Linked DNA regions of Schizosaccharomyces pombe. The gene in region 2 interacts genetically with the main gene of each other region. Each region holds a gene or a part of one and is shown on either strand. Other genes may lie near its edges.

What was found.
Region 1: mutations in SPOM_SPBC15C4.06C (region 2) and adh4 together harm fitness less than expected from each alone (positive genetic interaction), as found in Schizosaccharomyces pombe (one large-scale study listed by BioGRID).
Region 3: mutations in SPOM_SPBC15C4.06C (region 2) and nts1 together harm fitness less than expected from each alone (positive genetic interaction), as found in Schizosaccharomyces pombe (one large-scale study listed by BioGRID).
Region 4: mutations in SPOM_SPBC15C4.06C (region 2) and pex8 together harm fitness more than expected from each alone (negative genetic interaction), as found in Schizosaccharomyces pombe (one large-scale study listed by BioGRID).

What each region holds. Positions count from the first base shown.
Region 1 is NC_003424.3:155,424-162,836, forward strand, and holds adh4 (alcohol dehydrogenase Adh4), read right to left. Parts: upstream 2,510-7,413; 5' UTR 2,265-2,509; coding exon 1,125-2,264; 3' UTR 1,007-1,124; downstream 1-1,006. Other genes in the region: SPOM_SPAC5H10.07 (uncharacterized protein), read left to right, coding at 3,780-4,049; pan6 (pantoate-beta-alanine ligase), read right to left, coding at 4,671-5,522; ecm31 (3-methyl-2-oxobutanoatehydroxymethyltransferase), read right to left, coding at 5,554-6,357. UniProt on the Schizosaccharomyces pombe protein: Involved in ethanol oxidation in mitochondria.
Region 2 is NC_003423.3:2,249,605-2,258,309, forward strand, and holds SPOM_SPBC15C4.06C (ubiquitin-protein ligase E3), read right to left. Parts: upstream 4,107-8,705; 5' UTR 3,803-4,106; coding exon 2,132-3,802; 3' UTR 1,807-2,131; downstream 1-1,806. Other genes in the region: dhx29 (ATP-dependent RNA/DNA helicase), read left to right, coding at 1-1,405; SAGA complex/transcription factor TFIID complex subunit Taf10, read left to right, coding at 5,598-6,245; SPOM_SPBC21H7.03C (multiple inositol polyphosphate phosphatase), read right to left, coding at 7,040-8,431.
Region 3 is NC_003421.2:930,071-938,659, forward strand, and holds nts1 (protein Nts1), read right to left. Parts: upstream 5,086-8,589; 5' UTR 4,854-5,085; coding exon 4,694-4,853; exon of another isoform or gene 4,625-4,693; intron 4,215-4,624; coding exon 2,893-4,214; 3' UTR 2,667-2,892; downstream 1-2,666. Other genes in the region: proteasome assembly chaperone Pac4, read right to left, coding at 1-59; COPII-coated vesicle-associated protein Emp24, read left to right, coding at 521-614, 681-877, 1,008-1,316; SPOM_SPCC24B10.18 (uncharacterized protein), read left to right, coding at 1,952-2,042, 2,325-2,380, 2,434-2,568; SPOM_SPCC24B10.20 (dehydrogenase), read left to right, coding at 7,733-8,497.
Region 4 is NC_003424.3:3,908,700-3,917,164, forward strand, and holds pex8 (protein Pex8), read right to left. Parts: upstream 3,925-8,465; 5' UTR 3,906-3,924; coding exon 3,844-3,905; intron 3,802-3,843; coding exon 3,318-3,801; intron 3,266-3,317; coding exon 3,129-3,265; intron 3,086-3,128; coding exon 2,041-3,085; 3' UTR 1,836-2,040; downstream 1-1,835. Other genes in the region: NADH kinase Pos5, read right to left, coding at 1-96; proteasome core particle subunit alpha 5 Pup2, read right to left, coding at 690-869, 933-1,035, 1,174-1,615, 1,654-1,672; SPOM_SPAC323.04 (ATPase), read left to right, coding at 4,074-4,217, 4,398-4,782, 4,845-5,356, 5,403-5,825; eRF1 methyltransferase Mtq2, read right to left, coding at 5,906-6,091, 6,139-6,425, 6,467-6,528, 6,568-6,661, 6,706-6,772; NEDD8-activating enzyme uba5, read right to left, coding at 6,916-6,999, 7,047-7,122, 7,166-7,373, 7,409-7,599, 7,641-7,828, 7,870-8,174, 8,214-8,403, 8,441-8,465.

The DNA.
Region 1 (7,413 bases), on a different chromosome or scaffold from region 2:
TGACAAATAAATGTATATTGTTCTCGAAAAAGAAGGTTGTTGAGTAATTTCTTTGATGTTAGGAATCAATTTACACAGTAAGAATAACGAGGTATATTAATATTTTCTATTGCTTGGTGTTCATGAATCAAGTTATTACTAAGCAAAATCTTGTGTTATAACCTTTTACGCTGATTGTACGTTTAGAAATGTAGGTAATCGTCAAATCATCTAATGGATTTAGTCATTTGTAAAAACTAATAATATTCATGCATTTTCACTATACCGTGGGCCGGTTTCTGTGTTGCAGCTTAAAACAATGTGCATTTCCATCGTGTCATTAAATCTTTTAAATGAAAAATATCGGCAAATTTCTAAGAGTAAAATTGAAATGAGGTTTTGCATGTGATTTTTAAACAGCGGTCTTTTAATAGAAGTCAAAATATATTTTACATTAACACTTATAGTAGCTATTGTATTTCAAAGTTAGTTACTGACCAAAAGTTTTTTACTATGAAATATGTAGAAGCGTTTAGTTTCTAACTAGGTATCCATGTCTCCCCTTCTATTGGGATTTGCAAGTGCAATTGGGAATAAGATCTAATTCTTCCTCTGATCCATTAGTTTCATTATGTTATCTTTGTAAGGTATTAGCAAAAGATCATCAGAACCTAATAATTGGTTCTCTATTCAGAATTTGGTAGATCATTAGTGCAAGATTTCCTCCAATAAGAGAATTACCGCGAACAAATCTATTAAGCTTCAGTATAAGCTAATTGTCCAAAAAGAATAAGTTCTTTAATCACTTGAATTTTATAGCATCGAGTTTTGAAGGGGACACCATGGCAGGTTTCACAAAAGGCCTCGAGTTGTTTGGAACTACGTTGGAAGCAAAAAGATAGACATGATTACTTTTATACAAACAAGACTCATTAAACGACGTGCGTGTCTACTAGAAAAGGCTCACTTATATAATTAATAAAAAAAATCCAAAATTTGATATATTAAACCGTTGTTTACATATTTTCCAAATCTAAAAAAGGTTCAAGCCAAAAAAAATGCTTTAGGATATGTTGAAGTGAACATTCAAGCCAGTGAAATGTAAAAGCTCATAATTTGTTCTAGGTATCGAGATAACGTTCTATTTACATAGCCGATTTGAAAATAGCCTTTACCTCGTCATGTGTAGGCTGAATAGGGTTAGTAGCACCACAAGCATCCTTCATAGCGTGGTCAACCAAGACATCAAAATCTTTTTCCTTGACACCTAGATCAACTAGATGAGGACGAATTTTAACTTCAAGAACAAGTTGACTGATGCGGTCAAGAGCTGCTTCGGCAGTATGCTCTTCACAACCCAAGTGAAAAGCAATATCACCAAGGCGAGCATTTGCTCTTGGATCCCTAGAATTAAATTTCTGTACATGGGCAAGAAGAACAGCGTTACAGACGCCATGTGGAATACCGTAGAAACCACCAAGTTGATGAGCCATAGCATGAACATAACCCAAAGATGCGTTGTTAAATGCCATACCACCAAGGAATTCGGCATAAGCCATATTGTCTCTAGCCTCTTCGTCCTTGCCGTTGTCGACAGCACGCTTCAAATACTTATTAACGAGTTCGATGCATTTGACAGCACAAGCATCGGTGATGGGATTAGCAGCAGTAGAGACGTAAGCTTCAACAGCATGAGTCAAAGCGTCCATACCAGTAGCAGCGGTCAAGGAAGGAGGTAATCCATACATTGTTTCAGGATCGTTAACGGAAAGGATAGGCATAGTATGCTTATCGATAATAGCCATTTTAATATGACGGGTCTCTTCGGTGATAATTGCGAAACGAGTCATTTCAGAAGCAGTTCCTGCAGTCGTATTGATTGCAATCAAGGGAAGTTGAGGTTTGGAGGATTTATCAACACCTTCATAATCCGCAATTTTACCGCCATTAGTAGCTAACAAAGCAATACCTTTGGCACAATCGTGAGCAGAACCACCACCAATTGATACCATAGAATCACAGTTTTCCTTCTTAACGATTTCGAGACCTTGGTTGACATTTCCAACGGTGGGATTAGGTTGAACACCATCGTAAAGGTGAACAGTGATGCTTTGTTCTTCCAACAGAGCCTTAACTTTGTCATACAAACCGACCTTAATAATACCAGGATCGGTAACAATTAAGGTGTTTTTGAAGCCGCTCATCTTAATTTGCTTGGCGGCTTCAGCAAGACAACCTTTACCGAAAAGGTTGAAAGAAGGTATGTAGAATGCGCTAACAGGCATGGCTTTCGAAGAGGTTGATTGATGCTTTAAGCCATTAGTAAAAGATTGATTACAAGAGGAATGAAAGAGTGACGGAAAGAATCGAGCAGGCGATCGAATTAAACGAAATGGAGAACGAAGAATGGACATGTTAAAAAGAAAATCGCATCTAAAGCTTAACCTCCGATATTTTTTAGAATCAATAATATACAAAGTATGAAAAAAAATAAATAATTAGCCAAACGGAAAAGAAATATGTAACAATCGGTCAAAAAAGTCAAGGGGGAATGAGCCTTAAGTAGTGTACGAAAATTTCTCCAATATCAATGTGTAATCAATTAGTGTCTAAAATTTCGATACTTCCACTCCTTATCTCGCTTAACGAACACTTATCGAACATCGATCTTTTTACAACAATTTCGCTAAATAGATCTGCAGCCAACTCCAACGTCAAATAAATGCTAAGGAATTAAAAGATCTTCAAATGATTTTCAAAACAAAATTGCTTGTCACCAAAACTCTTTTCCAAACGACATCAAATCACCTCCAAACTGTCATTCTTTCCGCCATTATCATAAATTTTACTTACCAAAAAGTAGAAGATCAAATATTTCTCTACCCAAAAGGAATTGGAATATTCTGAAGCGTCTTGAGTATGAAGAGCGCCATTATATACAATTGTCTGAGTAACAATTCCAAGCAATATGAATGGTCACATTCCGTTTCTTTTACCCTCAAGTTGATAGGCAGTAAGTTCGTCGTAAGACATATGTAACATTTTTAGATTCCTGGGAGAACTTTTCCAAAACAAAGCAACCCGAATTACTGCAAACTTTGTGATTTTGGCATGCATGCCATCCAAATGCCAAAAAGTGCGTTACCTTAACGTTGGAACAATTCTCAAAAAGGGTTTTTTTCGTTATTTGACGTGATCGTCGTCGATGCTGATTGGCAGTAAAACCTCAAGATCTTCTAGAAGATCCACGGATTTACCATGTTTATGTGGATCACTGCGGCTCTGTCTCCAAGGGGAATATACGGTCAAAGCAATCGCATTATCGCTGGTTCATCTTCCGGTTCTTCTGGACAATTTTTTTGCTTATCGTAAAATCGGAATGAGAATGACTGCTGGCAACGTGCCTCCGGAATTTTTAGCACACATTGTTTGGCATTTGCGGCGCTGTAAAAATTTATGTTATTGTTTGTAAGAGGAGCATCAGAGCTTAGTTGAAGTGTTGGGATGAATACAAAAGTTTCTGAATTGGTTTGAAAGCGACATCTTTAAAGGGATTTTATACTATTTCACTAAAAATTAAAAATTTCTCTTTGACTCAATGCCCTTTAAAAAAAAATTAAAACTTTTTTATATATGAAAACACTTGGGAATAATTACATGGGCCTTTTTTCATGATGATCGAACAAAGGGGAAGTATGTCTAAGCAATCCTAAATAAGTTTATCGTCAAGTAAAAGAAACACAACGTTTTATTAAGAACTTGTAAATTAACAAGCTCGATCATATCGAAAGTAAAACAGCATGACAGTCTTAACTTCATACAAATTGTATTGTGGGCCGGATTTTCCAGCCCCACTTGAAAAGAAGGAAAAAAGAGAGAAAGGAAAAATACGGAATATTAGTTTTTTAATAGTTTTGACAAAAGGGCCAATCTGGAAGGTTAGTTCAATGGAAAGCACCAGTTATAATGGGTGCATCGAAAACCTTGACTGTAAATTTAGAAAGTCATTCATTGAAGAAATAATAGCCTACGAAGGTTTTGGCAAATATATAGAGGTAATCAATTTTTAAATTTTTTTTTTGTCAAAAAGGAAACATGATTGCAGGTAATCAACATGATCAAATGTACCTTTTTTTTTGGTAATCGAACCCCCATAACCCAAGTAGTAATTAAAATCAAAGAAAGTAGCAAATGATGGAAATGGTCAAACTTGGATTTGATTGTTTCATAAGGTCAAAATTCATCTCACAAATGTTCGTTTTTGTGTTATTTACCAATACATCATTCTCCTTTAAGAGCAAACACCATTGGATGAAGTATTTAAAAATCTATTGACTTTTTAAACCCCATTCTCCTAAATATCTGTTAATCGCCCGATTGTATAGGAAACGACAGCATAGTGAAGGATTGGCGACATAAACTTTAGTATTCGAATGGGCAAACAAGAAAACAAATTCTAACATTAAACTATTTCGAGTGAAAACTATGGATAATTTCATTCAATAAAACGATGGTATTGGAATAAGTGTATTCCTTCAAACAAACTAAAAAGGACAGTAAAAGAAAGTTAAAACATAAAACTTTCACAGCGTCTCTGTTACATAAAAATCAGAGTTGTTAGACACTATAGGTCTGTGGCTAATGGAAACATGACAAGATCACTTGATCGTGATTTGAAAACAATCCATGACTCAGTTGATGGTTGTTTGGATATTGTCAATAAGACGAGCTTTGCCAAGCCAAGCAGCTGCCAAAATTACGACATTTTTTGTGCCAGCAGTAAAAGGTTCTAAAGTCGTAGAGTCACAGATTTCCAGTTGATCGGGAATGAATCTACAACGTGATAGCTCAGTATTAGTTTCTGCAATCAACTTCTCTAAGTCGCCATTGCCATTACTCAACTCTTGGGCTAATTTTTTCAAAATTTTATATAAATTGGGAGCGATTTTTCTCTCTTCGGAAGTTAAGTAGCCATTTCGAGAACTAAGTGCAAGTCCATCATCTGCGCGCACAATTGGCACTTGAATTATTTCAATAAAGAAATTCAAATCGCGGACCATTTTTTTAATGATGGCTACTTGTTGAAAATCCTTTTCACCAAAGCAGGCTACGTCCGGATTTACGATGTGAAAAAGCTTGCTAACCACTGTAGTAACGCCACGAAAATGGCCTGGTCGACTCGCACCTTCAAGCATGGTGGACAGCTTAGGGACGTCGACAAAAGTAATGTCTTGAGACCCTTCCGGATATAACTCCTCAACAGTTGGAGCATAAACCAGATCGACTCCCAGGTTTTGCAGCTGAGAGCAATCTTGGTCCATGGTTCGAGGATACAAGAGTAGGTCTTGTGGATTATTGAATTGCATTGGATTTACGAAAATACTGACAACAACCTTTTCGGCATGTCTTTTGGCTTCACGAACTAGAGAAAAATGCCCTTCATGGAGATTTCCCATGGTGGGAACAAAAGCAATTCGATTTCCATCTTTTCGCCAATTATCTACTTGCTGATGAATCAGGAGCTTCTCTTTAAGAACCTGCATGCTCAAAATATCCAGAAATTTTGTATTTTATTTATTGGAAACTGTGTTCTTCAGCAGGGTATAGACCTTGTTCTACTTCGTAGATGTAACGTTGGATAGCCGTGCGAATGTCCCCAGCCCCGGACAAAAAATTCTTAGCAAATTTGGGTGGGCGGCCTCCAGTAATTCCTAAAGCATCATGCATGACAAGTATTTGGCCATCAGTATGCTTTCCGGCTCCTATCCCGATAGTGGGTATGGATATAGTTTTAGTGATTTGTTCAGCTAGTGACTCTGGAATACATTCTAAGACGAGCAGCTGCGCACCAAACTTTTCCAACTGTTGTGCATTTTCAATTAAGCGTGCTGCTGCAGACTGTTCCCTACCCTGTATTTTATAACCTCCAAAAATGTTTACAGACTGAGGAGTCAGGCCAAGGTGTCCAGCAACAGGGACTGATCGTTCTGTAAGTCTTTGTACAATTTCAAAAATCCAATTCCCTCCTCCTTCTATTTTAACTATATTTGCACCTGCACGCATTACAGTAGCCGCATTTTTACAAGCATCCTCCCATGTACTGTAACTCATAAATGGAAGGTCAGCCATCAAGAGGCGATTAGGGGCACCTCTTCGAACACTTTTTGTATGATATGCTATGTCTTCTACTGACACTGGTAATGTAGTACTATGACCTTGAGCAGTCATTCCAAGGGAGTCACCGACGAGCATTACAGGCATCCCCTGTTCTGCGAAAAGTCGTGAAAAACTGGCATCATATGCTGTAATACAAGCGAATTTTTTATTTGCTAGTTTCCATTGACGAAGAGTGGATATAGTTATTTGCTTTAATGACATTTTTTGTTATTCCTTTTCATAAGGTGGTACGTCTGTAAAACAAGTCTAGCACAATTCAACCCAGATATTTTCTAATATGTTAAAAACAAGTAATGCATATTAAAAAATGGACTCTTTACTTTAAAAATAATAATACTTATAAGAGAAATTCTTGCTTAGGAAACCTCTTGCTCACATACTTTGAATATGTCTATGAAAAAGTAAAAATCACTGTGATCCTCCAGTTAAAGCATTTAACATACATGGTTACTCTGGTTTATTTACATACGATTCATATAACCTACAAAGAATTACAACCTTTGAAATTCGTTTGTCCAATTGCAACGGATTTTTATTCGCAAACTAAAATAGCTACCTGTTTAAAAACAACTATTTTAATATTTGAATAGATATCCCATTTGATAGTGGTCGTTCCTAAAACAAAGTCATTATTTTCGCAAATTTTTTAAGATATCAATGTTTAGTAACACAAGCAACTTATTTTACTGCTCTCTTGTTACTCATATTCATGTCGAATGTATAACATTTTTAAGTACAAAAATCATTGAAATTGCTAATTTTCCGTTTGTATACCAAAAAACGGCTTGAAACAACTTTGGAGTATTTTCGCATCAATCCACTTTGCAATAATCCCTCTATTTGAATTGTGCTAGTGTGTTTCATAGTCATACAGAAATATGTTGATCAGCTTCATGTCTGTAAACTCATTATTTGAATTCTTATGATGAATCGTCAGTTGGTAAACACAACTGCGAAATACCGATATTGGAGATCATTGACAAAAGGCTAAGCTGACAAGTATCTGTAAATGAAAAAATTTAGGCGCATTCTCGATTTTTCTGTATTCCTTCAAGGTCAATCAATCCAATTGTTTTAATCATTTCCCAATCTCACTCCTGCGAATAATATAGTAGTGCTATTGGTGCGGCTGCATGCCTATTGATTGATCCACGCACGTGGTAACTCTGCTACAGGGCTACAAGTCCGTTCATCTATTTCAATTCCTCCTAAACTTCATACACAAAAAGATTTATAAGATCTTCACTTCTTTTGTGA
Region 2 (8,705 bases):
CAAGATTGTATTGTCGACAAATATCGCTGAAACTGGTGTTACTATTCCAGATGTCACTTGTGTGATTGATACAGGAGTACATAGGGAAATGCGTTATAATAGTAGAAGACATCTTTCTCGGTTAACTGATACATTTGTATCTAAGGCCAATGCCAAGCAACGTAGTGGACGTGCTGGTCGTGTTCAGGAAGGTATCTGCTATCATTTGTTCTCAAAATTCAAACATGATACCCAATTTTTGTCTTACCAGACACCTGAAATTCTGAGACTTAATCTGCAAGAAGTTGTTTTGCGAGTAAAGATGTGCCAAATGGGTGATGTACAAGATGTCTTAGGCAAGGCGTTAGATCCACCTTCCTCTACCAATATTATTCGTGCTTTAGAAAAGCTTCATCAAGTGGGAGCGCTCTCTGAAAACGAAAAATTAACAAAACTCGGCAAATTTTTGTCGCAATTACCTGTTGATGCAAATTTAGGAAAAATCTTGGTTTTGGGATGCTTCTACAAATGTGTAGATGCCGCTTCTTCAATAGTAGCCATGTTAACAATCGGTTCACCTTTTAGGAAATCTGTTGACAATGAATTTTCTGCAAACAAAGCCCGATTATCATTCGCTAAGGAGAATACCAGGAGTGATTTAGTTTTGATGTATTATGCTTACTGCGCTTGGCGAGAGATTTGCCTTTCACCTTTAGGCCCTGATGAAGATTCTTTTGCCAAAGAAAAGTACTTAAATTTAGAGGCTTTAAGTATGACAGAATCACTAAAAATCCAACTGCTTTCTGAGTTGAAGGATATGAAACTTTTAGGCGCTTCGGATGTTGATACTTGCAAAAGCCTAAAACGTTCAATATGCCGGCGTTTTGCCGTTATCCCCAAAGAGCATGATATTAACTCAGGAAATGCAGAAATTCTGTGTGGCGTAATTGCTGCATCTCTGTATCCAAACATTTTAAGGTATGATTACGAAAAAAGACAGTGGTCAACCTTGAGTACCAACAAGCGTGTTAGAATTTTAGATGTATCGGTGAATAATAGGTCTGAGTTACCTAACATGCCGTCCAAATTCGTTGCTTACACGAACATGATGTCTTCCACTCGAGCTAGTGAGTATGTTAATGAAACTACTATGGTTACTCTTCGCCAGCTTCTAATGATGTGCGGCCTTAAAGTCGAAAATAGAGTATCAGTTGGACAAGCAAAGCTTGACAACTTTACAGTATATTTTGAAAATGTTTACGTTTCGGCATCTTTAAGTATTTTACGTCGCTTTATTGAAACTTCTCTAAACGAATTTTTTGCTGAACCTGATAAACGCTTATTGAATTCCCATCTTGAGGTTATTGTTAACATAGTTTCACGGTTAAATTACGGAACCAAATTTCAGAAACGTCTCAAAGATTAATGAAAGTATCAAAAATGAAATATCAGAAAGTTGGTTTTCACATATCTGCTTAATGACAGGCAAATTTTCTTTCCATTTGGAAAATGTAAGAATTATGTTGGTTGAGCATAAATGTGTAAAATGGAGTTATCTAAGGCTTCATTGCAGAAACTGATGGCTTTTCTATTTTATGAGACACAATTCAGAGTATTTAATTTTCTCAAATCCAAAAATGTCAATTATTATAACTGTATATCGTTTTCTTAGAATATCAAAATAGGTCTCTAAATGAAAAGAAAAAAATATTTACATATGCAATTTAGCATTAGACCGGCTAATTTGTAAAATACTTAATAGTTTTTTTGTACCTTCATCATAAACTAGCAAGCAACATGTGTATTAAACTTTTTATAGTAAACAATGACATGTATAGTAAGCTTTTATATAGTACTATAGAATTCATACGATAACACAAATAATAGATTAGAACGATGAGAAATAGATAATTAGCCCATTAAAAGATGCAAGAAAATTATGAACTTAAGGAAGCGTAAGTTTTCTTCGTCGTAGGAAGAACTGAACAATAAGTATGAGTATGCGTATGCGTATAAAGACAAGCAAAATATTATAACGTAAATGAATGAGAGTCGAACAAAATATGCTAATATAGATTATAAAAAAAATTATCCTTATGAGTAGAAGTACAGGAATTACTCAACCAATGGAGAAAATTCATAAATATGCAGTTTAAACATTGTCCTCGGAAGCATTTTCCAACATGTTTGTAACTGACTGTTTACATAGGGGACAAAGATCCGAATTTTTTAATAAATAAGGATCAATGCAAGCCGGATGAAAGATGTGATGGCATGGCAGTTCTCGATAAAGAGGACTTTCTTCTGAATACTCACACAAGCAAATAGTACACTCCCTCTGATCGAAATACTTACTCCCTCTTTCGGCTGTAGTAACCACATTTCCCTGTCCATCAAAACTTTCTGATTTGTCTAATTTCCAATCCTTTTCATAAACCAACTCATCATTAGGATTGGCAAGATGAGGCCCCGAAAACATTCTAACGGGCAAAGTATCGAGCATTTCTTTAGTAACACGATTTTCTGGTTTGTTTGGTCCAATATTCACAATTCTTTCTTGAACAGGAATTCCATGACGATTTAAGAGTCTATAAAATCCATTCATTGCACCAGAAAAGTGAAGGCAAATAAAAAGGCCTATGACACCGATTAAACCCAATAACACACCAATGAATATATAGAGGCCAAGTAGCTTTGGTTCCTTGCTGATGATAACGCCCAAACGGGCCGTAGCATCAATGTTTCCAAAATATTCGACTAATGCTCCACCATCCTGCACCGAATTTAAAGAAGAAGCCGAGTATTCGTTGAGAATCTTTTCAAAAGCGATGCCGTTTTCGTAAGATATGAGTGCCATTGGTAATGTTTCAAAGGTAATCATATCTACAGCATCTTCAAAGTGGTCAAAATTGGTTAATGAATTACTAGCAGTGCTTGCATTATAAAATAGTATTGCCTTTGCTCTATCCTGGACAGCCTGCAATACATGCATTGGAGCACAATAGTCAAACGGCGCGAATGCGATTAAGCCAGAACTTCCCATATTAGAAACATCTCTAAACCATACGCTTCCCTTGGTATCAACTTGAAGTGACTCGGTGTCATTGCAGCTACCATAAGGAGTAGTTTTATATATAATTCCACGAAAATTATTCTTCAGTTTAGACAAGCTTTTGTAATACTCATTCAAAAGGACCGTGTTGTCAGAGTGGAAGTAAAATGAGACATTTTTTGGAAGATTTGAAACAACATTCTTGTTGTTTTTAACAATAAGAGTAGTTATGGTTAGCGGAAAGAACTGATTGTATTCGACAGCATTCATAATAATAGATGAATTTCCGTAATATGAAAGACCAGAGCTAACATAATTAGATATTGCAGTATTTGGAGCATTGCTGGAATAAGCAGGGTAATAATCATCATACAAGGAGATTGAACCAGAAGTAGAGGACGACCTTGCAGAACTAGTACTAGAATCTGAATAAGATTTGGGATTTGATTCACTGGAAACAGAATCCGAGTCTGATTCACTAGAACTGGACATAGAATCTGATTCATCATGACTAGATCTTGAAGAAGAAGTGTGTTCACTAGCATGCCCACTAGTATGGCCTCTTCTTAATGATCTAAATGAATAAGAGATTGGAGTTGGCGAGATACTTTCGTCCTTTGGCATTCGATATCGCCTTCTTTCATTCCATAGTTTACGAATTGCATTAAACAGCCGCTTTCTCCTCTTTACCTTATTCTCTTGTGAAACATAGCCTCTGTAAACTGCATTGCAATCCAGATGATCAAGCAACTGGTTATTACACAGATGCATAAGAACCTAAACAAACTTTAAGGCACGAAGAAACACAAAGAACTAGGAAACAGGAGGTTTCAAGATTACCAAAAAACAAACCTGCTTTGATACCAATCTTTCTAAATAATGAATCAAATTTAATGGTAATTGAAAGGTAAGCTTTCAATCAATAAACAGACGTTGAGTGGTGATATCTCTAAAGCAGGAATTGTGGAACACAATTAATGAAATTTTTTAAAGGAAATTTCAAAAAATTAGAAAGTAAAAAGTGTGATTCTTTTAACTTATACTAGCTCAAGCTTGAAAACCACAAATTGGTGGTGGCTAAGTAATGAACATCTTGAGACATATTGCGTACATAGTACACAATACATGTGATATACATGTGGAAAGCAATTGTTATTATATTTTCACTATGAGCAGTATACTTCAGTGAAGAAGTTTTTTAATGAAGGAAAAACTATGAAACAAACAAAGCATAAAGTGCAGGGCGAGAAAAACAATCGTGAAATAAAACAGCTTATTTGTGTTTGGTGATTCGACAAGCGCTTTAAACAGGTGTGAGAAACTAAATAATAATAAATGGTAATTATAAGAAATAAAAAAACGAAGAAGTGATACTTCAAAAAGGTAAGCATAGCTGGAGAATTAATGATCAGAGAGAACTATAATAAATAAATAAAAAAAGGATCGCTTAGCGATCAATTAAACAATAAGATATCCTCCTTAAACATAAGAAGCAATTTACTAGGAATACGTTATAGGATTTAATGTTGTTTGAGTATACTTTGTAAACTAGTATAAGGATATAATTATTGTGATATGCTACCTCGTAATTTAGTATAATTTTATGGAGTTCGTTTAGTACAGCGGTTACATATTTGTTTAAGAAGGCTAAGATATAATATACTATATAATTTTATATTTTACTGTATTAACTTACAACTGAACTAGGAAAGGGTAGTTTGTTCGGTTGAGATATTTCTTCAATAATTGTATTTTCCTAAAGATGTTTTACTCGTCCTGATCATTAAAGATCAGTAGTATGGATCCGACAGTTTTGAAATGAAAATAACAATAATTAGTAGTGATATCTAATGTAGCTTTGATCTGGCTTAGCAATACATTATTGGTAAAGTATGGGGAAATGGATTATGTAGTTTGTTATGAGAAATAAAAAATGTGCACCAAATTAATCTCAAATATCCTTTCTTTGCGTAGTAAATTTTTTTATTTGTTTTAAACACATATTAACTGGAAGTCATGTTTGCGCAAACTTTAAAATGCTCATCTCAGCAAATGAATAACATTGTAGTTTGAGAATAATAATTACTTTTGAATACATATGTTCAAGTCCAAGAAGGCTGCCATTCAACTCTAAACTGAACATTTGCTTATAGAAGCAAAAATTGTAGTAGATACCAACTTCGCTCCGAACTCTATATAATACCGATTTTAAACAACACTTTTTACCAGAAGTTAATTAATCTTATATATTAATTTCTATTATTCAACTAGCATTATTCCAAGAATTGGAATTATTTACTTTTCGATCTTAGCCCTTATATACGTAAATAACAATGCTACTTTACCACGAATACAGAATATAGTCCACCTCCACCATCCCTATTTTAGTTGGCCTAGTGGTTTCTTGAAACACTGGATTAAAGTATTAAAAGTTAAGTCCATAAGCTAGGGAAATAAATTTCCTATTATTTCCAATAAGTCGAACGATAAATCAAGGAACCACGGATTTGAATCAAGTTGCAGAAAGACATTCTTTGCTTTACAACATCGGTCAAATAAAGAAAGAATGAGTGACATTAACAATAATGAGCCAGCTGAAAATATTGAACAGCCCAAGCAAGAACCAGAAGATGGAAATAATTCGATGAGTGTTGATGAACAACCCGAAACGTCTTCCACAAATCTGCCAACTGGTGACAATCTCGCCCCAATGAGTGTAGAATCCCCTGCACATTTAAATAACGAGGATTCTCCCAAAAGCGATGATTCTAGAGAAAGGCATGGCTCGAATTATGTTATAGAACCGCATTTAGAATTGCGAGATATGGCCAAAGACAAAACACTTGAAAATTTCTTGGCCCAAATGGATGATTACTCTCCCTTAATTCCAGATGTGTTATTGGATTATTACCTCAGTTTATCTGGATTTAAATGTGTTGACCCACGCTTAAAAAAGCTTCTTGGTCTTACAGCTCAAAAATTTATTTCTGATGTTGCTCAAGACGCCTATCAATATTCTAAAATCCGAACCGGTAGTAGCAATGCATCTTCAACTACGTTTGGTGCGCAGAATTTTGGAGCCGGAGGCGCTTCCGGGATTGGATCTAGCGGAAGAAGAGGTGACCGTGGAAAAACCGTGCTCACTGTAGATGACTTAAGTGCCGCTCTTAATGAATATGGAATTAATTTGAAAAGGCCCGATTTCTTCCGTTAAAGACTTTTTATCCCACTAAGGCCACTTGTGTGAGACCCTTACTTAATGCATTAGTGGAACTTTGTTTCTGAAATCTCATTTTCCTATAAAATTTTTGTTTACTAATTGTTGTTAATTCTAACCTTTTACACTTTTTTGAAATTATTATGTATTTTGAAGATAGCACATTCGGTTTGGCGTGGCATTGTTGATGATCATAATTTCAAAACATTTTCTCATATCGATCCATTTCAGCAGTAGTTTTCATATGAGGGATTATTTATCTTTATATTTTATAAAATTTATCATATGTATCATAGTTACTATTTTCTCGCTATCACTTGCTGAATTTGTTTTACACTGATACTCTCATTCAACATTGATGTAGTAAATGTTTTCTTCGTTATGCTACTATCTGCATTTTGAAAAGCACTTCTGAAAGTGTCAATTACGCGGTCGACAGCTGCCTCATAGTATGTCAGAACCTAACATGCTTCTAATTATAATATGCATTGTATATAAAGTAAAAATTAATATAATTACAGTTACCAGTACTCTTTCAAATAATGTAATGCTTGAAACCTTAAACAAATACAGACTTCTCAAGAAAAATCACTGCCTTCATCTGGCAAAGGAAGATTATCAGTTCCTACAAGCAAACATCTTGTTTTGATTGTAGGAAGGAAAGTACTTGGTATTCCTCTTTTAATTAAGTCTAATATTACCCAAAATTAAATAAATTGATTATAATAAATTATAGTTTATCCTATTCAAAGGATCCATTCTGTTTATTTAAACATTATAGCGCTGATAGTTCAAAAGTAAATGGTAACGTTGGTAGGACGCGCTTGACATTCTGTGTTGAAAATGGAAATACCATTAGAGGTAGAATTTGCCCGAATCGGTGAATTCAAATAAGCCTGTAACTCGCAAAGTCCATCAGAAGTTCCACTAGGTCCATACCCACAATCGATAAGGGGATAAACTTGCTGGTTGACGAGATGCCGTACATAATATTTGCTGTCAGAACAAAAGAACAACTCAGTAATTAAATTTCCAGCGAAGGGAACGAATGAAGAAGTTTTCTGGGAGTATGTATAAATGTTTTTATCAGTCGGCAAAGGATTTTGCGGAGTAATGTCAGGAAAGAATCCCAAAGCAGCTTCCACAGGAATGATATTAGAATCATGAGTAAATGCTAAAAATACTTTACGATCGAAGTCGGGATTAGTCACATTACGAAGTGAGTCTGCAAGATTATTTATATAGGCCCCACCTAAGGTTGAAGCCCATTCGGAAACAGGACCACCTCCATATGCCTGATCGAGATCTGAGTCATATTCAAAGTTCAAAAATTCTGATGGGGTAAATATGGAACAAAAATCACTGTGATCTTTTATAGCAATTTCATATTCGCAGATATAAAAGAGACTACGAACGTCATTGATCGTAAGTTTATAACTGCTGTCAAAATATTTAGCCAAACGATTCACAATGGGCTCAATAAAAATATTGCGCCATACAGCATGGGCAGCATCAGTTGCATTTTTATGAAAGTTATTATCTTTAAACACGGGACATGCGTTGTACATGGATAAGGAGTTGGCACCTGCTGCCTTACCTTCAGAAATAAGGATAAAATTGGTTTTTTCGTACATTTTATCACCAAATAATCCATAAGTAAACCATTTTGCAGATTCAACAACACGTTCCTGTTCAGCCGTATTTATGTCGTAAACGTATGAATCAAAAAGTTTATAGTAACGCTGGTATAGCTGACGACCCAAGTCGAAAAGTTCGAGACGACCACGGCTGGAAAGTTGATCGGCATTTTCTGCATCTATTACAGGAGTCCACTGCTTAATAAAACATAAGGGATTCTCGGGGTAGCTGAAGTTTACGGGTATTGAGCCGTTTAAAAGCTTTTCCTGAAAATTATTTAAATATTGTGAACTATATACATCAGTGGCAGTTACATCGCCCGTTGGGTTTCTGGAACCGTGACGTTGAAGAAGATGAACTTGTTGGATCTCACAGGTTTCAGGGAAAGCAGAATCAAGACCATCAAAGTAGGGCTCATGATAAGGACTTAATGTTCCGAGATGTTCCTTGAAGAAAAAATTGCTTTCATAATCCTCAAACTGAACATTATCGGCATTGACGATGAACGCAGCTAAGAACCAGAGAGAAATGATACACAACTGCATCACGAAAATATATCAGCCAAACGAGTAAAAGGCCTTCTTAATTATTCGATTAGTAAAGCAGAGCTTTTGAGGAAGAAAAATTAAAGGATCAAAGTAAGAAATTGATTAAAACGAGTGACAGTCCATTCAACCAACAAACTGCTGGTCAATTGAGGTTAGGAGCGACTTTGAAGGATTAATTGAAAGGTAACCATTAAAAGATACAACGTAATGGTCCTATACGTGTAATTCGTGTATCTGCCAACAAAAGCTGGTAGCTTCCACTAAATTGAAA
Region 3 (8,589 bases), on a different chromosome or scaffold from region 2:
CATACTTTTGGTATCATTGCATTCCCAAAATCAAGTTCTTTTTGGATGACTTGAAACATGGTAAAACAATTATTTTTTTTTAAAAATTCAAAGAAAGAGAGGACAAGCAAAGTGTGGCTTTAAAATGTTGGCAAAAATATTATGAATACAACAGTAAAGGTTTTCGAACAAATGGCAAGTTCATGCAAAACCTAATTAATAGGAGAGAAAAAAAAATAAAATGAATTGATGTTCAATAATAAGTTAAATACAAAATAAACGAAGTTTTGGAGAATTACTAGTTATACTCTGAAGACAAGAATGATTTAATAATTTCCACAGAAATAAGGAAAGATACCGTATTACGTTTTTTTTATAAAGACATCGTATTTTTTCTTAAGCAAATTTAACGTAGCGTCGCCTAATTTCACAGTTGTGCTTTGTTTATGCACGGTTGCCCTCCAACTAGTGCTTTGTACGTTTCCTCTACCATAGACCTCATTCTTGCTGCTTCAAAGAGCAAAGAGCTTTACTTTGCAAAATGGCGTTTTTTAACGTATTTAAAGCCGTGTTATGTGCTTATTTTATATCTGTTGTTTTCGGTCATGGCATTACATTGAAACCGCATCAACGAGGTATGTAATTTCAGTGTATTTGTGTTGAGATTCATGGAGTATACAATGCTAATGAAGCAAACTTAGAATGTTTCTATGAAAATTTGAGGAATAATGATCAAATGTCTGTCACTTATCAAACAAACGTTGGTGGTGATCAGCTTGTTTCTATGAGTATCTACAATCCTGCGGGTCAAATTATGCATCAAGAGGTTCCCAACTCTATGGCCCAATATTCTTTCACCGTTAAGAACCCAGGGAAATACATGTATTGTTTCTATAATGTATGTGTTATCTTTTTGTTTTCTGGCATCAAAGCCTGGCATTATGGTCGTCATTTCCCATGTCGTCTAATTGTTTGATGGTTGAGCCGGAAACAGCTAGATGTACAATCTTAACTAACAACATCAATAGGATGCACTCGATGGTGAATCAAAGGAGGTTTTATTCAATGTGCATGGTGTTATATATATCTCTGATGAAGATTTGGATGCTAACAATCCTTTACTCGGCAAGGTCCGCCAACTCCATGATACCATCTCCAAGGTAAAACATGAGCAGGAGTATTTTGTGGCTCGTGAAAGAATACATCGCAATACTGCTGAAAGCACAAATGACCGCGTCAAGTGGTGGAGTATTCTTCAAACCGTTATTCTAGTTTCCGTATGTGTATTCCAAATTTTCTACTTAAAGCGACTTTTCGAAGTAAAGCGTGTTGTATAGTTTATCCGCATAACGTTACTTATTGTTCGCAATAAGTTTTCCGTGCGACTGGACGACGGTCGTAATTTCAAGATTCTGCTTGAGCAGCAAAAAGTATTATAATTGGTCTCTATTTGAAGCTGGCCATCACCGACGACTAAATTTTTTTTAAAAAATTTTATTTCCTGTCGGTTGCTGGCGTTTTCCCTTTCAATCTGAATCTTTAATCTGTCTTTTACTTGTGCAGGTTAATGTTTTCTTTTATGATCTCGCCTGTTCTTTAAAAAAAAAGATTCGTTATGTTTGAAGCAATCATTTAGCAAACGTACGTGTTTTTTAATGAATTTTAAAGTCTTAATTTCTTAAATCATTCTGCACTGTGGGAAACACTGCACTTTAACTTTCACATTTTATGGCATTCCGATCTTTCTAAAGGTACACTTTTTTTATAGACGGTAACATTAACAGTATAACAATTCCCTCATTATACATTTGCTTATAAAACGAATTATTTAGTCTGTAATGCCACTTGTATGTATTACTTATTGCTGTATTCATGGCGATGTTTGTTACCTCCTTCTAATGTTACCTTCAAAGTATCTATGAAAATTCATTTACTACACCAAACTATAACCATTACCATTTATCGTAACTCAATGGCACAAGGAGAATTTAAAAAGAAGAAAAATAGTAGTGCCAACAAGGGCGGACGTGTTACAAAACACTCCAAGAATCCTAAAAAAGGCGGTATGTCAGCTGCAACTGTCAAATATTCGGTGATCTTTGTATGCTAGGGAATTTGGTTTAGGGATGTTTCTTTTAATATTTTAAGCTCATTGAAGTTGTTGGACAACCTTTGTGGTGCTATAAACTCTTCATCTTTTCGTAACTTTAGATACTCATTATAGTAAAATTTTTCATTAAATTTTTTGATACACGTTTCAATCATTTTACTCTTAAGCATACAAGATATCATATTATATGGTTTATCATTCATCATTAATACTCATTACTAACCTTGACTTTTAGCTCGTTATTGTGCCCCTAGAAGAGCAGCTGCTATCAAAGACCATACAATTAATGCGGTATGTTTTAAAATTTACTTTTATATATGTTCTTTTTGCTAATATCTTTAAAGAACATTACAAAAACATTAAATGTTCGCAATGAGAAACTAATTGCCGGAATTGCGTCTCAACAAGTGGGCAAGTTGACAATTACTAAGGCATTAGGTGAAGCTGGTGCCAAGGAGTTAAAGGAGGGAAAGCATTGAGTCGTTTGGTATTTCTTTTTGTGTAACTGTTTTGTTCCTTTTCAAAAGGAGGTAAATGGCTACACTTGATCATACTGCATTTATCGAATTGTAGCATTGGTTTTGGAATTTTATTACTATTATGGTTAAGTATACAGGGAATTCGGTTCATTTTTGATTATTATTTATAAATTAATTTTGTTGGGAAATGAGTAAACGTTATATACAAATATTGTTGTTTGATAATTTTCTTTAAATAATTAGACTCAGTAGTGTTCCAAATAAAAAGCTCGTAATTCTAAGATTAATAATTATGTTCCACAAAAAAAATGCTTTTAAACATTCTTAAGTCCTCGTTCGTTTGTTTCGCGATAAGTTTACAGAAGTAGTTTTCGTTTTGGAGTTCTGTCCTCGCCCAGAATTTGACTCTGCATTTGAAATGGCTTTATTTAAAATTCTCCACTCCTGCTGCCATGTGTCGAGTAATGTTCTAATTCTTTTAATCTTTACTCGTTTTTCTGGAGTATCTTCCGGTGGGTGTTCTCTTTTAAGAAAATCAATCAGCTCTGAAAGCTCTTTCTCTGAATCGGAAGATTCCAATTCTATTCTCTCTTCCGCTTCAACTTTCCCGTCACCGTTAACTTCTAAATCAACTTCTTCTTTAATGCTTTCTTTTTCCGAAGTAGCCGTTGTTCCTTCTACCGGTTTGTGATGGCCACGTAGCATTTCTTCTGTTGCCGCAGTCGCTTTTTCAACATTTTTTCTGCTTTTGTTCTCTTGAATGTCATTAAGTTCTTTCAGCACTTCAGTTGTGTTTGTTGTAGTGCTTTCGGGAACCGGTGATGATTTGGTCGAAGTAGTGGTACTTGTTAAGTAAGAGATTCTAGGTACGATATTTTCTTCAGGGATTTGATCACGTTGAGGGCGTATGTCATAATTGATTTTCTCAACAACGGCTGCAATCTGTTGTTTCAGAATACTCGAAGATTTAACCTCTGATGAAAACCTTTCCATTCGAGGGTTAATAGGCTTTGATACGTTCTCGACATTATCAGCGCTTTCCAAAGCTAAATTAGGAAAAGACATTGGCGTCCCTTGTGTTGATCTCAATGTTGACGAAGTAAATATATCTGAAACGACCAACACTCTTTGGGCCTTCAAAAAAGCCAAAAGAACTGAAGGATTGGACCATAATTCATAAGCATTTCGAAATGATGGATCATAAAATATTTGACTTCCATACTGAATACAGAGATTAGCCACAGCTTTCCGATCACAGGTATGCTGTGATACACGGATTAACCAAGTAGGGTCAACGGCTAGTAAAGTAGCATGCGTGGTATTTGTTTCAACGTCGGTTTCCAAAGAGTCTAAACATTGTATGACAATTTGATTTAAGAAGTTTTTTTCCTCAACGGGAGTGGCCGTTTTTTTCTGTGCTTCAGTGAGAGTAGCATAGGAGTTAAAGTCCTGCACTTTTGAGGTTGAAATGCTAGCGACTGCAGAGTCTCGAACAGGGACGAACGCTGAGTTGGGAGTTAGCCGACAAATGTTTTCTTCTTTGTTGGCAAACCGCAAACTGCGGTATTGTCGGATTAGTACGGGACGCGCATAGGTTTTTCGACTACTAAGATCCTCTGCATCTATTGGAAGTCTTTCATAAGGAACTGCATTAACGGTTAGAAATTTTAATAAAAAAGAAATAAAACATCAAAAAAGAAATCGATTTTTCAAGTGACATTGTAGTAGATTTGAATTTTCAGTCATCATAATTTTTTTATACAATCATTTGCTTTACAGAAAACTGTACGGTTAAATCTCCCAAACATTTTTCCTAGGGAAATAAAAACCCAAGGGCTAAATGTTGAAATCAACCATTCAATTTCGAACAGAAACAACAAAAAATATAATTAACGACCAACGCCACAGTCTCATCCAACCACTCATGCCAAGTCATGAATAGAGTAAAATTTTATATGTTTCTTTGAGAAAATTGAATTGATATAACCTTAGAGTTATAGGCGTGCAAAATGTTTGATAAAAGATCATCAAAATTGCTATCAAGCATACGACGATCAATTGAAAATTCACAATTTTAGAAAAAGCGATAAAAATAAACTTGATTATATCTAATATTCATTCTTACCTAGAGTTAAAAGGCAGTTGTACAAACGACCTCGATCGTCATATTCAAAAATGTTGCGAACGAATGTATCAAGTTCCTCGGTCTGTAGAGGATGGAATGCACTCTGCAAAAATGAAAAGAACTCATCAATATCCGGTTTTTTTTGACACGATTTCACCATTACTCTGTGAGTTTTGAGTCATATATATTAAGTAGATCAATGTTGTCTTCAGTTATTAAGAAACAAATAGCGAGGGTATTGAAAGGAAATATATACCAAAAAAACAAATATTTTAATGAATTCAGTTAATCATGTGTCAATAAATTGTGAATTTAATCTCTATATTATTAACAAATTGATTCAAGTGCTCCGTCGACTGATTCACTGTCTGCAATACTGTTTGGTAGTTTGCAAGTTTCAACGGTAGTCGATTACTAGAACGTAAACATATACTTTACACAATCACTACATGTTAAAACACTTGAAAACAAAAATTCCAATAAGCTTTAATTTCTATTAAAATTTACATCTCTATTGTTTTGACACCAAAAGCGCTAAGGTGAAAGTATACGATAAAATGTAAGTACGGTACAAAAAATACAAAGCAATTCCTCCCGGCACTTTGAGAAGGAATTCATCCTGACGAGAGTCAGAACAAAAAAAGAGAGAGGATCGTGCTTTATTACCAGACGTTCTGATAATCATTACTGAGACATATCAGTGATGCAATCCTTAGTGCTGCAATAATAATTAAAGAATATTTCAAGGAACTAAAGGAATCTTTCTAACTTTGATTATATAAAATAATTTTAATATTCTAGTGATGAAAAGATTATTCCTCGTTCGTTTTTTGGTTTACTATTTCATTTATCACGAATAGTGCTACAACTAATATGTAAACTTTTACGTTTAATACTGATGAATCATGTGAGATGTCGATTGAAATCTTTAAAAGATATTCTTACGTATAACTAACTCTCAACTTCTTTTATAGCCACGGTTGTAATATTTCTATTACATAGGATTCATCTGCATTAGGACAGTTAATTTCAAACAAATGGATACTTCTGTAGTTTTCTGAAATGTCTTCTCGAATTTTTTACCTCTCATTTAAATGAATTATAAGAAGCTAAAGAACAATATAAATTTTTTGTGTAATTGGCAATACTACATTACAGTTAAGCCCCAAGAAGCGAGTAGAGGCACATAGTAGGGGAACTAAAGGCTCCGAAGGCCTTTACTTCAATCTTTAGGTTCATAAAATATATAACTTAAAATAACATGTCTTTTTAAATGGTAATTTATTGAATAAAACCTATTTTCAATTAACAGTGGGAGATGGGAAATTTAGTGTTTAAACATTGATTAACAATGAACTATACGAGGTAACGCAGAATATGTGTTACCCATTCAGCAAATCTTAATTGTTCATGAATCGTGGATAAGCAAGGAATATACGATCCATACATTTTTAAATACGAAGAGAATGTTAGAGAATTTCATCGATGGAAGGTCATTTTACTACTGAGAGGTAACGGTAGAATACTGCTTTTGCATTTTCCAACTTGACAGGGTTCATTCGTCAAAATCGAATATAAAGCGAAATTACAATAATAGCAAGATAGCCGTGGCATACAATTAGGTGTTATTTTATCAATTGGTGAATCTTAATACCAAATAAGAATAATGTGTATTCTGAAAGAGAGGTGCAGGAAAATGCGTATAAAGCAAGAGGAAACAGCAAAAAAAAATTATATTAATTTTGAACAACATCATTTCATCTCAAGATAAATTTGTTCCATTAGTCAATTTTTAAACATCATCAGTTTTGATAGCCCTACGGTCGGCGAATTTGCAACTTTGCATATGACACTTAAATTTAATATTTGGGATAAAAGTAAATATGGCTTGACCTCAAAAGAATGCATTTGAAAATTAACAAAATTGTATGTTTTCGGGGGGTTTTTTTTTTTTTTTTTTTTTTTTTTAAATGATCAGTGAATTTTATAAGGTATCCGATATGATTTTAACCCAGATTCAAAAACAGGAATATTATTTTATTACATTAAATTTTTGAAGCATCAAAGTCGGATATGTTTATTTTTAAACGAAATTGCTTAACAAAAGAAAATATTAAAAAAATAAAGTCTGATCATTAACAAGCTATATGATGTTTACAAAATCTACCAAAAAAAAACACATATATAAATAAAAGAGGAAGAATGAAAATTACATTTCTCGCAGTAAAAATAAAACACTAAAAGAGCTAGTGCGTACAAAACACTCCATAAATATAAAATAAATGAACATACAACAGAAAAACCATGAAATTTTCTTACACCCTTGATATCCTTTCCTACCTACTAAAGTAGATTAACAGTGTAGAAAGAAAGGAGCGATATATAAAGCAAAACGCTATATTTACTTTACGAAGCACCTTTCAAAACGTTACAGTAGCTGTACATTCTGTCAGGTTCCTTTATAAAGTCAGTTGCAAATTGAAATATAACGTAGCCTGTCATTAAGTTGCTTATATGAAATAGAAAAAAAACCTTCACTATCGATATATAGTTAGACAACGCAAGTTAGCACCAGTTGGTAAATTTGTAGCAATAAAAATGTGAATCCGCTACATTGTTTGTATGTTTATTATCGAAATGTATTGCCAATTCTTTAGTTATAGTAGCTTTATCTAGTAGCAAATGGAGGAATGATACCTGATAGAATTCAGCAGCCTTTTACTTTAAAACTGCTGTCCCAAACTCAGACTAGAGATACCAGCTACGACTTTAGGGCTTAATTTGGGCAAAAGAGCATAATGTCATTCATAAAGCATATTGATTGATTAAATAATAACGTATTATTGTTTAGTGACTATAGTTTAAGAACTGTGCGACGATGCATTTGCAGATCTTTCTGACTTGATACATTATGCGTGAGCGCAACTGTTTTACACCTCCAACCAAGTAGGCTAGGCAAGACGACTGACCTTGATATAAAGAATTATTGTTGAAAAAAATCATCACCTTGAATCTTTTTGAGTCATTTTATGCTAAAACATGTCGGCTGCTGGTGGGATAGTTTACGTTATTGTGGGTGGAAACCGTGGCATTGGACTTTCTCTAGTCAAAGAGTTAAGCAATAAGGAAGGAGTAACTGTTTTTGCAAGTGCTCGTGGACCTGGATCTGCCTCTGAACTGAAAGATTGGAGCAAGACCCATTCCAATGTACATATCATCAAGTTAGATGTCACTTCTCTACGAAGTGCCAAAGACGCTGCCATGCAGGTTGAAAAGGTAGTAAAATGTATTGATGTTCTTTGGGTGAATTCGGGGATATCGAAATCCTTCCAACCTGTTTTGAAAACATCAGACGAGCTTTGGATGTCTCATTATCAAACCAATGTGTTAGGTCCTATTCATGTTTACCAAGCTTTTTATCACTTGTTAAAGGAGGGAAAGCTAAAGAATATTGTTTTTACTTCATCAATGGCTGCGTGCATGGGAGGAGTTCGTCCAAACACATACTCGGCTTACGGGCAATCTAAAGCAGCCTTAAATTATACGATGAAAGAAATTAGTTTTGAGTTAGAGAAAGATGGATTCGTTGTAGTTTCTATTCACCCTGGAGTAGTTAACACTGACATGTTTGTTAATGCTATGCAAAAATTAGCCAGCAAATATCCTGAGATGGTAGAATCCATCAAGAGCAATGCCATCTCACCAGAGCAAAGTGCTTCATCTATGCTTAAAATTGTGGATAATTTAAAAACAGAGGATAATGGAATGTTTTATAACCTTGATGGCACAAAACTTCCATTTTAATGGAAGTTCGCCTGTCAATGGTTTACGCAACAAGACACAAAGCAGTGCCAACTTGAATCAATTATCTATAAATTATGAATTGAATACTCTGG
Region 4 (8,465 bases), on a different chromosome or scaffold from region 2:
AATAATCGAAAATCCTTTCAATTGGCGAAAATTAGGAGCTAAACAGACTGCTGTATTTCTAACACTAATTCTAAAGCCATTTGCCGCTCTTATCATTAGATTGATCCAATTTTAATAAAAATGGTTTTTCGAAAAGTCTTTATAGAAGTAAAGTGGGATCCGGACCTTCAAATTCAAAGGCAAAGATATATAATGAAGCAACACGTAAAAAACGCTAGTTAGTCAGAAATCCTATACAAATGGTAAAATTACTGTAATAAAAAATTTTGCCTGTAAATCTTTTAAACGATCAGAATTTTGATTTTATTTACTGTATATATTTTTTTTTATTGGAAATTGGATATTTTATGACTTCCCACGATACAAACCATATGAACCGATAAATCGATAAAATTTGACTTAAACCTGGAGACTAGTACAAATAAAAGCTGTTTATTAGCAAAAGGTTCATTTAAAGAAAAGATACGTTACATATACTGATATTACATATATGGTTAATCACAATTAAAATACAATAAACAATCAACCGAACAAACACAAAAACGGTTAAAAGATGAAAGGAATACATTTCTAATCATAGATACTAGGAAAAGGATAAAGGTGATGGCGAAACAAGTCTGTAGAGTTATGTAACATTCGACTAATCATGCTTTATTTGGTAATATTGGCGGAATTTAAATCATCATAGGTTAATCCATTCTTTGCTGTTCACGTGCTACAGCATCGGCCATTTCCTCGTCATTATAGATGTGAAATCCACCCTCAGCGGTAACTTTGGCAAGTTGAACATTTTTGGAATCAAGCTTTTCTTCCATTACTTGTCGAAGTACTTTGAGAATCAATACTTCAGCTTCCTCGAGAGTCATATCCTGAACGACATTGTTAGTTTAACAAAAAAGGAAAAAGATAAAGCAAATAAAGTTAATACGTACTTTGTGAAATTCCTTCACTAGTTCGCTTTTCGCGGGTTCACTACCTGAACCAATAGCTTTAGCTTCATAACGGAAATATGTACCTGAAGGCTCAGAGTGGTATCTGTATAGGAAGTTAGCATCTTAACGAATTACAACAAAAGGAATCCAAACAATGGCAGGTGTACGAAGATAATCAAAAAACAAAAGCATTAACACAATAGCCACATCGTTCCATAAAAATAAAATAATTTTGACTTACAGTTGAGGACCATGCTCATCTATTCCAGCAATTAACAAAGCAACACCAAACGGTCTTGACATGATGCGTTCTTCGCCATCTTCTCCTTCACCAAAGCGAAGTGCGAGATCACAAATTGACTGGGTAGTACTTTCTATACCTTGTGGTTCATCATAGGTAAAACGATGATTTTGTGTTTGAACTCTAGCATGTTCAATAATTGTACGGGCATCAGCTGTTAGGCCTGAAATTGCGCAACCAATGTGTGAATCAATTTCAAACAGCTTTTCAACAGAATGAGATTCCATAAGTGGACTAGTTAATCTCTTTTCAACACCAAGGACGACGGCATCCTTAGTTTTCACACCAATAGCAGTGGATCCTAATTTGATGGCTTCGATTGCATATTCCACTTGAAACAACCGGCCTTCAGGAGAAAAGGTATTTACTCCTCTATCATATTCTAAAGATTAGCTTAAGAAACTTGTACAGTTTACTTACCTGATCTAGTCATAAACATTTTTAAAAGAGAACGTGTAAAGTAGTAGTTGCTGACTGACCAAAACCCAGCCAAATGATAATATCGTTAATATTCCCTATAATACGTTGCCTAATATATCGTAAACCAGATTATTCGTTACACTCCGTTATTAGTGAATATAAAAATTAAATAAAAATATGTACAGAGGAGAAAGGTAAACAAATGTTTATAATAGGTATATTGAAAATAATAATTCGAATTTGAAGATAAAAAAAAAACGAAACTGACTAATATACACGTTTCATGTTACAATAATTGATATTGTAGTGTAACCAAAAACAATCCAATAGCTCAATAGCTTTGGAAAAGAACGGAAAATATTATCCTTCATCTAAATTATAGAGTTTTTAAACTGCACGACCTACGACAATAGATAGCCAAAAGGATAGCAAGGAAGTAGCGTTTTGATAGGGCATTTGACGAATTTGGGAAGATACAAGGAAAATTAAGTCTTCTTTGGTTTCAGTTGAAAATCCTTGAATTGAATTCAAATAATTGGATAAGAATTGCTTTTGAGCAGCAGGAGCAAGAACACTTACTAAACTGATTGAAGCTTTATAAAAAATAAGGGCGTTGTCAAATTCATATCGTATAATTGGCTGAAACCATTTCAATAAAACATCTGTGAAATAATAAGCTATTTCGATGTTATAGTATAACCTTACTCTCGAGCAAAGGATGCTCTTCAGAGAGTCGAGATTCAACGTTTTGGTAAGCAAGAAGAGACACCTAGCATGAACATAAATGTCATTGTCTAGATAGTCTTTTGGAGAGCCCTCATTTAGATTACAAAAAAGACACGCATACAGCGACGCGTAAACATAATGTTTGCATAATGTAGATTCGTCAGATTGAGATATAAGTTTTTCAGCGAAACTAAGACCTAATGATGATATTTCTTTAGCAGTGGAGCTTAACGTTATAACTTTCTCGTTGACTGTTTGCTTTTCTAAACGTCGACATATGAGATTTTGCCAATTATTGATAAAACTCAAAGTTACCAAAACTGGAGAGCCTGATAGCTTTTGTAAGTCTACATATCCCTCGAGTTGAATTGAATCTATAATGGCTTCCCGCACAGTTTCCGAGATAAACTTGGCTGGTTGAGCAACACGACTCAAGCATGTTGTTATTACAAAATCCAATGTAGACCATGATGATGCAACAAAAGAGAATAGATACTCCATATGAAACAAAGTCAAAATAATATACTCACATAAAGATCGGTCTGCAGCCAATACATTGCTTTTACGGTACTGAGATTTTGCCAATGATTCTAAAACCATAATTATTGAGAAAAAATTTTTTTTAACAAACTGATGGTCATTATATTTAGAATCAGAGGAACGACTTTTCCAAGAGGGAATCGCCTTGTCAATTAGAGTTATTAACCTGCATCATTTAGTCTTCCAGAACAGTGAAGTCAAACACTAACCTTTTAATAATGCTGATTTGCTGATAAGTTGATAAGCGTAATAACAGATGGCACAAAACAGCTGTAGGCAAGGAATCCCGCTTGTGTTCAGTATCCAAATAATTGATGAAACCGCTCCAAACAATTTCTTCCCATTTCTGAGACAATTAGTATAAAGTTTTTTGGAGTTCTATATTTACTGCTACTTACCAATAAATGAGGGAGTAACGAAAATGCATCAAAAGAAATATCGCTCGCTGATGAATCGACAGATGCAAAAAGTTGTTGCAGTAAAAAATTGGCTTCAAATCCTGAAAATTGATGCGTTTTTATCTGTTTTGATAAAGCTTTGCTAACTGCTCTTTTCAAGGGGTATTGTAAGTTGACGATATGATCGCAACTCAATAGTTTGTAAAAAACGCAAAGGAGACAAATTCTTCGAAAGCAAAGAATTTCATTGCTTGCATCTACCTCAAGAATGCCTACAATGCTTTTCACGAAGGATGAAAATGGCAAACCGTTATTCGTTACCTTTTTCCTGCTTATCAATTCAACCCAAAATGCAAAGTATTCAGAACGATGCTCATTCCAATAGTCCCATATTCTACCGCAAGCAATCAATTGTGCTACCACCAGTCGAAGGTTCTGTTCATTATGTAAATTGAGTAAGACATAGTGTGTCTCCCATAGGACACTTGGATTGTTAACAAAATGGATTAAAAACCACCGGACTTACGTTTCTAAAGATATCGAGTCCTCTCGTAACAGAAGAAGCACGTTGTTAATGGCTTCTTCCATAATTAAAACGCAGTGTTCTGGAAGCCTTATTATCTTTCGTACGATCACTACCACAGAATCAAACTGCAACTTATAAATTGACTTATACGGAGTTTTCTCATTTCATTAATTACTTTAACAATCACCATATAAGCTGCTGAGCATATAGCGGCGGCCATATCTTGCAGCATGGCGTCTTTTGTCAAATTTGCCAATACGACATTCTTAGATGCGCGATTTCCCCTTTTCAAGAATGTGTCTTTTGAACTAGCTCGAAAGCAAAATTGGGCCATTATTGGAAACACTGGAAGTGGTAGGACTACATTCTTGCGCGTATGTTTTGTAATTTATGCGAAGTGTTTGGAGTAAAAATGCGCTAAAGCTTTAGCAATTCATCAAATTTACTAAATCAGCTTTGTACAATTCATTTTTGTCCCTTAGTCGGAAACCAAACACTTTTTATTATCATTAATTACATGGTAGTAACTTTACTAAATTGCTAACTCAATACAGTGTATACAAGGTTCCTTTACACCCTCACCCTCCACTAGTTTTTCATATCCATTCTTGAAAGGCAAATCTGATAGCCCATGGCAAGCAATCCAATTGCTTGATTTTAAAAGTTCTGGACAGCAGCGTGCCGCATACTACTCTGAAAGATATCATTCCTTTAGAGACAAAGAACATGACACTACATTGGAGAAGTGGCTTTTGGGCGCTTATCGAGGGAATGAGAAGTTTGCTTCTCAACATGTACAAGAGGCCGCATCTATGACTCAGTTATCTCATTTACTTCCTTCGAGTTTAATAAATTTGAGCAATGGACAATCTAGAAGAGCGATGCTTGCATCGAAACTTGTGCAAAGGCCGCAGCTTCTTTTACTTGATGAACCTTACGGTACGCTGGCCACTAAGGGGTGCAATTTATGTTAATACAATTACTAACAGTATTTTTTTTAGCTGGACTTGATGTTACTTCAAGATCTGTTTTGTCTTCACTTTTAGGTGAAATGTCAAACCATTGTTCGCCAAAGATTGTACTTTCCTTACGTCCTCAGGACAAAATTCCCGACTTTATCACACATGTATTGGAATTGAAAAATAAAAAAATCACATATCAAGGGCCCAAGGAACAGTATATTCCTATGACCAGTCACTCAACTAACATACCTGTCAAGCCCCAGATGAAAAAAAGCAAGCCTATTACAATAGGCAAGCCTTTAATTTCCATGGAACATCTCAACTGTGTTTACTGGGGACGAAAAGTACTCTCTGACATAAATTGGACTATTAGAGAAGGAGAAAGATGGGCTTTAACAGGTAGCAATGGAAGCGGTAAAACTACACTTTTAGCATATGTAGTTGGAGACCACCCCAAGTTATTTGCTAGCAATATTAAATTTTTTGGAAAAAGCATTGGGCCCGGCACTGGAATTTCTATATTCGATATCCAAGAAAACATAGGGCATTGTGTAAGTCTATAAAAGTAAATAGTCTTTAAAACTAACGACTTTTTAGTCTCCAGAGATACACAATCATTTCCCGAAGCAACATACATGCTTTGAAGCTCTTCTTAGCGCCTGGAGCACCACCTTTACCATCCCAAAGTTAACCGAAACTCGGTTGGCAGCAATTAGTAGCATCTTAGAGGAATTTGAACTAAAGGATATTAAAGATAAACCATTAAGCAGTATCTCGGTTGGCATGCAGAGATTTATTTTGTTTTGTCGTGCTATTGTCAAACAACCTCGCTTAGTTGTTTTGGACGAGCCTTTCCAGGGAGTAGATACCAAATATGTCCATATGGCGCATAATTACTTAAATGAAAAGCTCTCTCCTTCCCAAGCCATGGTTATAATTTCTCATTACGAAGATGAACTCCCTGCCTGCGTAAATAGAAGGGCTCACATTGATAATGGAAAACTTGTCATACATGCTTGATGATGAACATCCCTATTGAATGTGTATAATTCTTCGACTCCTTTCTAGGATTGTTTTTTGATTGACCCCAAAAATTTGAATTATTCATCCCAAATTGTATTACCAATCCGATAAATTCTTAGAATACTTAGTGTTTCACGCCCAGCTTTTCTTTTTAAAGTCTCATTAACAATAAACCCATCCTTTTGCAATATTTCACAAATAGAGTGTAACTTATTGCGAGCAACTGCAACCATGTAAAATACTCCGTCTTGTGAAAGTATATCCTATCCATAAATGAGTTATTAATGTAAATATAAAGGTCTGACCTTACCTTTAATTGGTTTAACAAAGTGCTAGTGACATCCATACCATCGGTACCACCAGCCCAAGCCGAAGCAATAGTAGCAGCTTCACTTGGTATTTCTTCGAACTCGGTAGGAACATATGGAGGGTTGAATATTAAAATATCAACTCCATTCCCGAGTCTAATTCCGTCAAGGAATGAAGTTTGTACGGTAATGAACAACCCATTATCGTCCTTATACAACTCACGATTATTCAGAGCAGTTATCTTACTAGCACGACACGCAGAATTTGAGATGTCGGACATAAAATGAACTAGACATCAGCATATTATATTTTGTGGTTTGCAACCGTACCAATTGGCTTGTTTTTCAAAATCCCACTTTTTAAAAATGAGGATGCACAGCCAGATCCGCAGCTGCAGGTTAATATCTTCACGATTTAACCAAAAACCTACCCAATTTCCGCTGTTAATAAGTTTTTCATTTCAGCCATTTGGCGCAATTTTTTGGCATCCTTTTCAAGCGCATCGAGCAAAGCAAACGTGTCCTCTAAAAGTGTAATTAGCAAGCTTTTTTGACCTTTTATAACATACCAGCTGGTTCATAAACATCTTGAAATTCTTTTAGACGCAACTGGGATGTAACTGGGGTCGAAAGCATTCGTTCTTACGCGTACCTACTTATTTGAAGAAGGACGTCAGACTGTGGTGCAAATGATATGAGAATGTTTGATTTGGGATAGGAACTTTTGGAATATGATGAATTTTTTTGAAATTTCATTTAATAATAAATACTGATTCTAATTATAATTTAAACGTTTCTGTCCTGCTATGAACACCGTCAAAGACGAATGTATTATTCAAAGGAAGATATTGTTGGGCTAGTAACTAAAGTAAAGTTAGTCCATAATAGTATTTGTATAAATTTTTCATACCTTTATAGTCTCTTGAGCTACAATACCACCTATAAAAGATGATATTGAATGAAGTTCATGACCATCAGCGCGTTCTCTGAAACTATTAGTAAAAAGTCAGAATAAGAAATTTAGCGTACAATTCTTGTATAGCTGTGTAAACAACGTCAAAAAATTTCTCTAATCCAATTTGGGACAAAAATGATTGAGCAACGCTGATTGTTTTAGTTGTATCACTGAACGCTTCTTTGTAATTTTTTCCATGTTTTTCAAGTATTGTATCATATATGCGAAACGCTAAATACCACGGAAGTAAAGAATTTGAGTCAATCGAGGATGATTCGAGAACTACGGTCAGACAAAAGCGAATACTGTTAACGTACCTGAGTTTGATGTAGGTTGATACTCCTCTTTCATTGTTTTGAAATCCATAACCTTTATATTTAAACAATTTCGAGAAAAATGCTTGATTTCTAAATCGGTTATCTCCTCGACTGATCGGTTTAAACGTTTCAGCGTTTGTTGAACGTATTTTTTGAATTTTAAAATATCATTTTCAGATTTTTCTTTGTAGCTGAAATATTAGTAATGGTAAAAGTTAAACAAAAAACGTACATGACCTGTAGCTTTACGTATTGTTGAGTAGAACAATTCATGTCAGGCAATAATCCAGATAGTGGAAGAAATTCTGTCTCATCATAGAACATTTTGAGACAATGCGCCATGATCCAAAAGCTTTCAGAATCTTCCTGAATTTTAACGCAGCGAGTATCGTGTAAAACTTCGTATACGTTGCTTGGCAACTATTTCATATTAATTTATGCGTTCTAAAAAATACAAATACCTTATATTCCTTAAAAGCCTTCCAAGAATTCGATGAAGCCTCTTCGATGTTTTCTGAATCACATTTTCCCTTGTATTCCTCCATTATTTTTCGAAACATAGCACAATCATCAGCTTCTTGTGAATTTTGCGCGTGTGCTGGTGAGACCTTTAATAAGACATGGATGATTAAGACTATATACGGTATTTCTGACAGAGAAGATGAGTCCATATTGTCCAAATCCATTGATTTTACATAATTAATTAGTTCAGGCCACGGGTTTTTCAGACGCAAATCTTGAGGCAATTCTGGTTGTGATTGAGTAGCTAACTTTAGTTAGATATCCCTCTTAAATAGGAACTTACTGGTATATTCATGAGTCGAAATTCGAAGTATGCCGGCAAAGCCAACTGAATTGAAGTGTAGCAGAGGAATCTTGTGCGATCGAAGGTACTCTTCTAAGCGAAAAAGAGGTTTTTCCTTTAAGTTTGAGGATAAGACTACAGAAAATTTTGAAAAATACTCAATGTTTTTATCTATTAAAGCTTCGGGGCTCTACAAACGTTAGAGTATATCGTCCAAACAGCCATACCATCTCTAAATATTCCATTTCGACG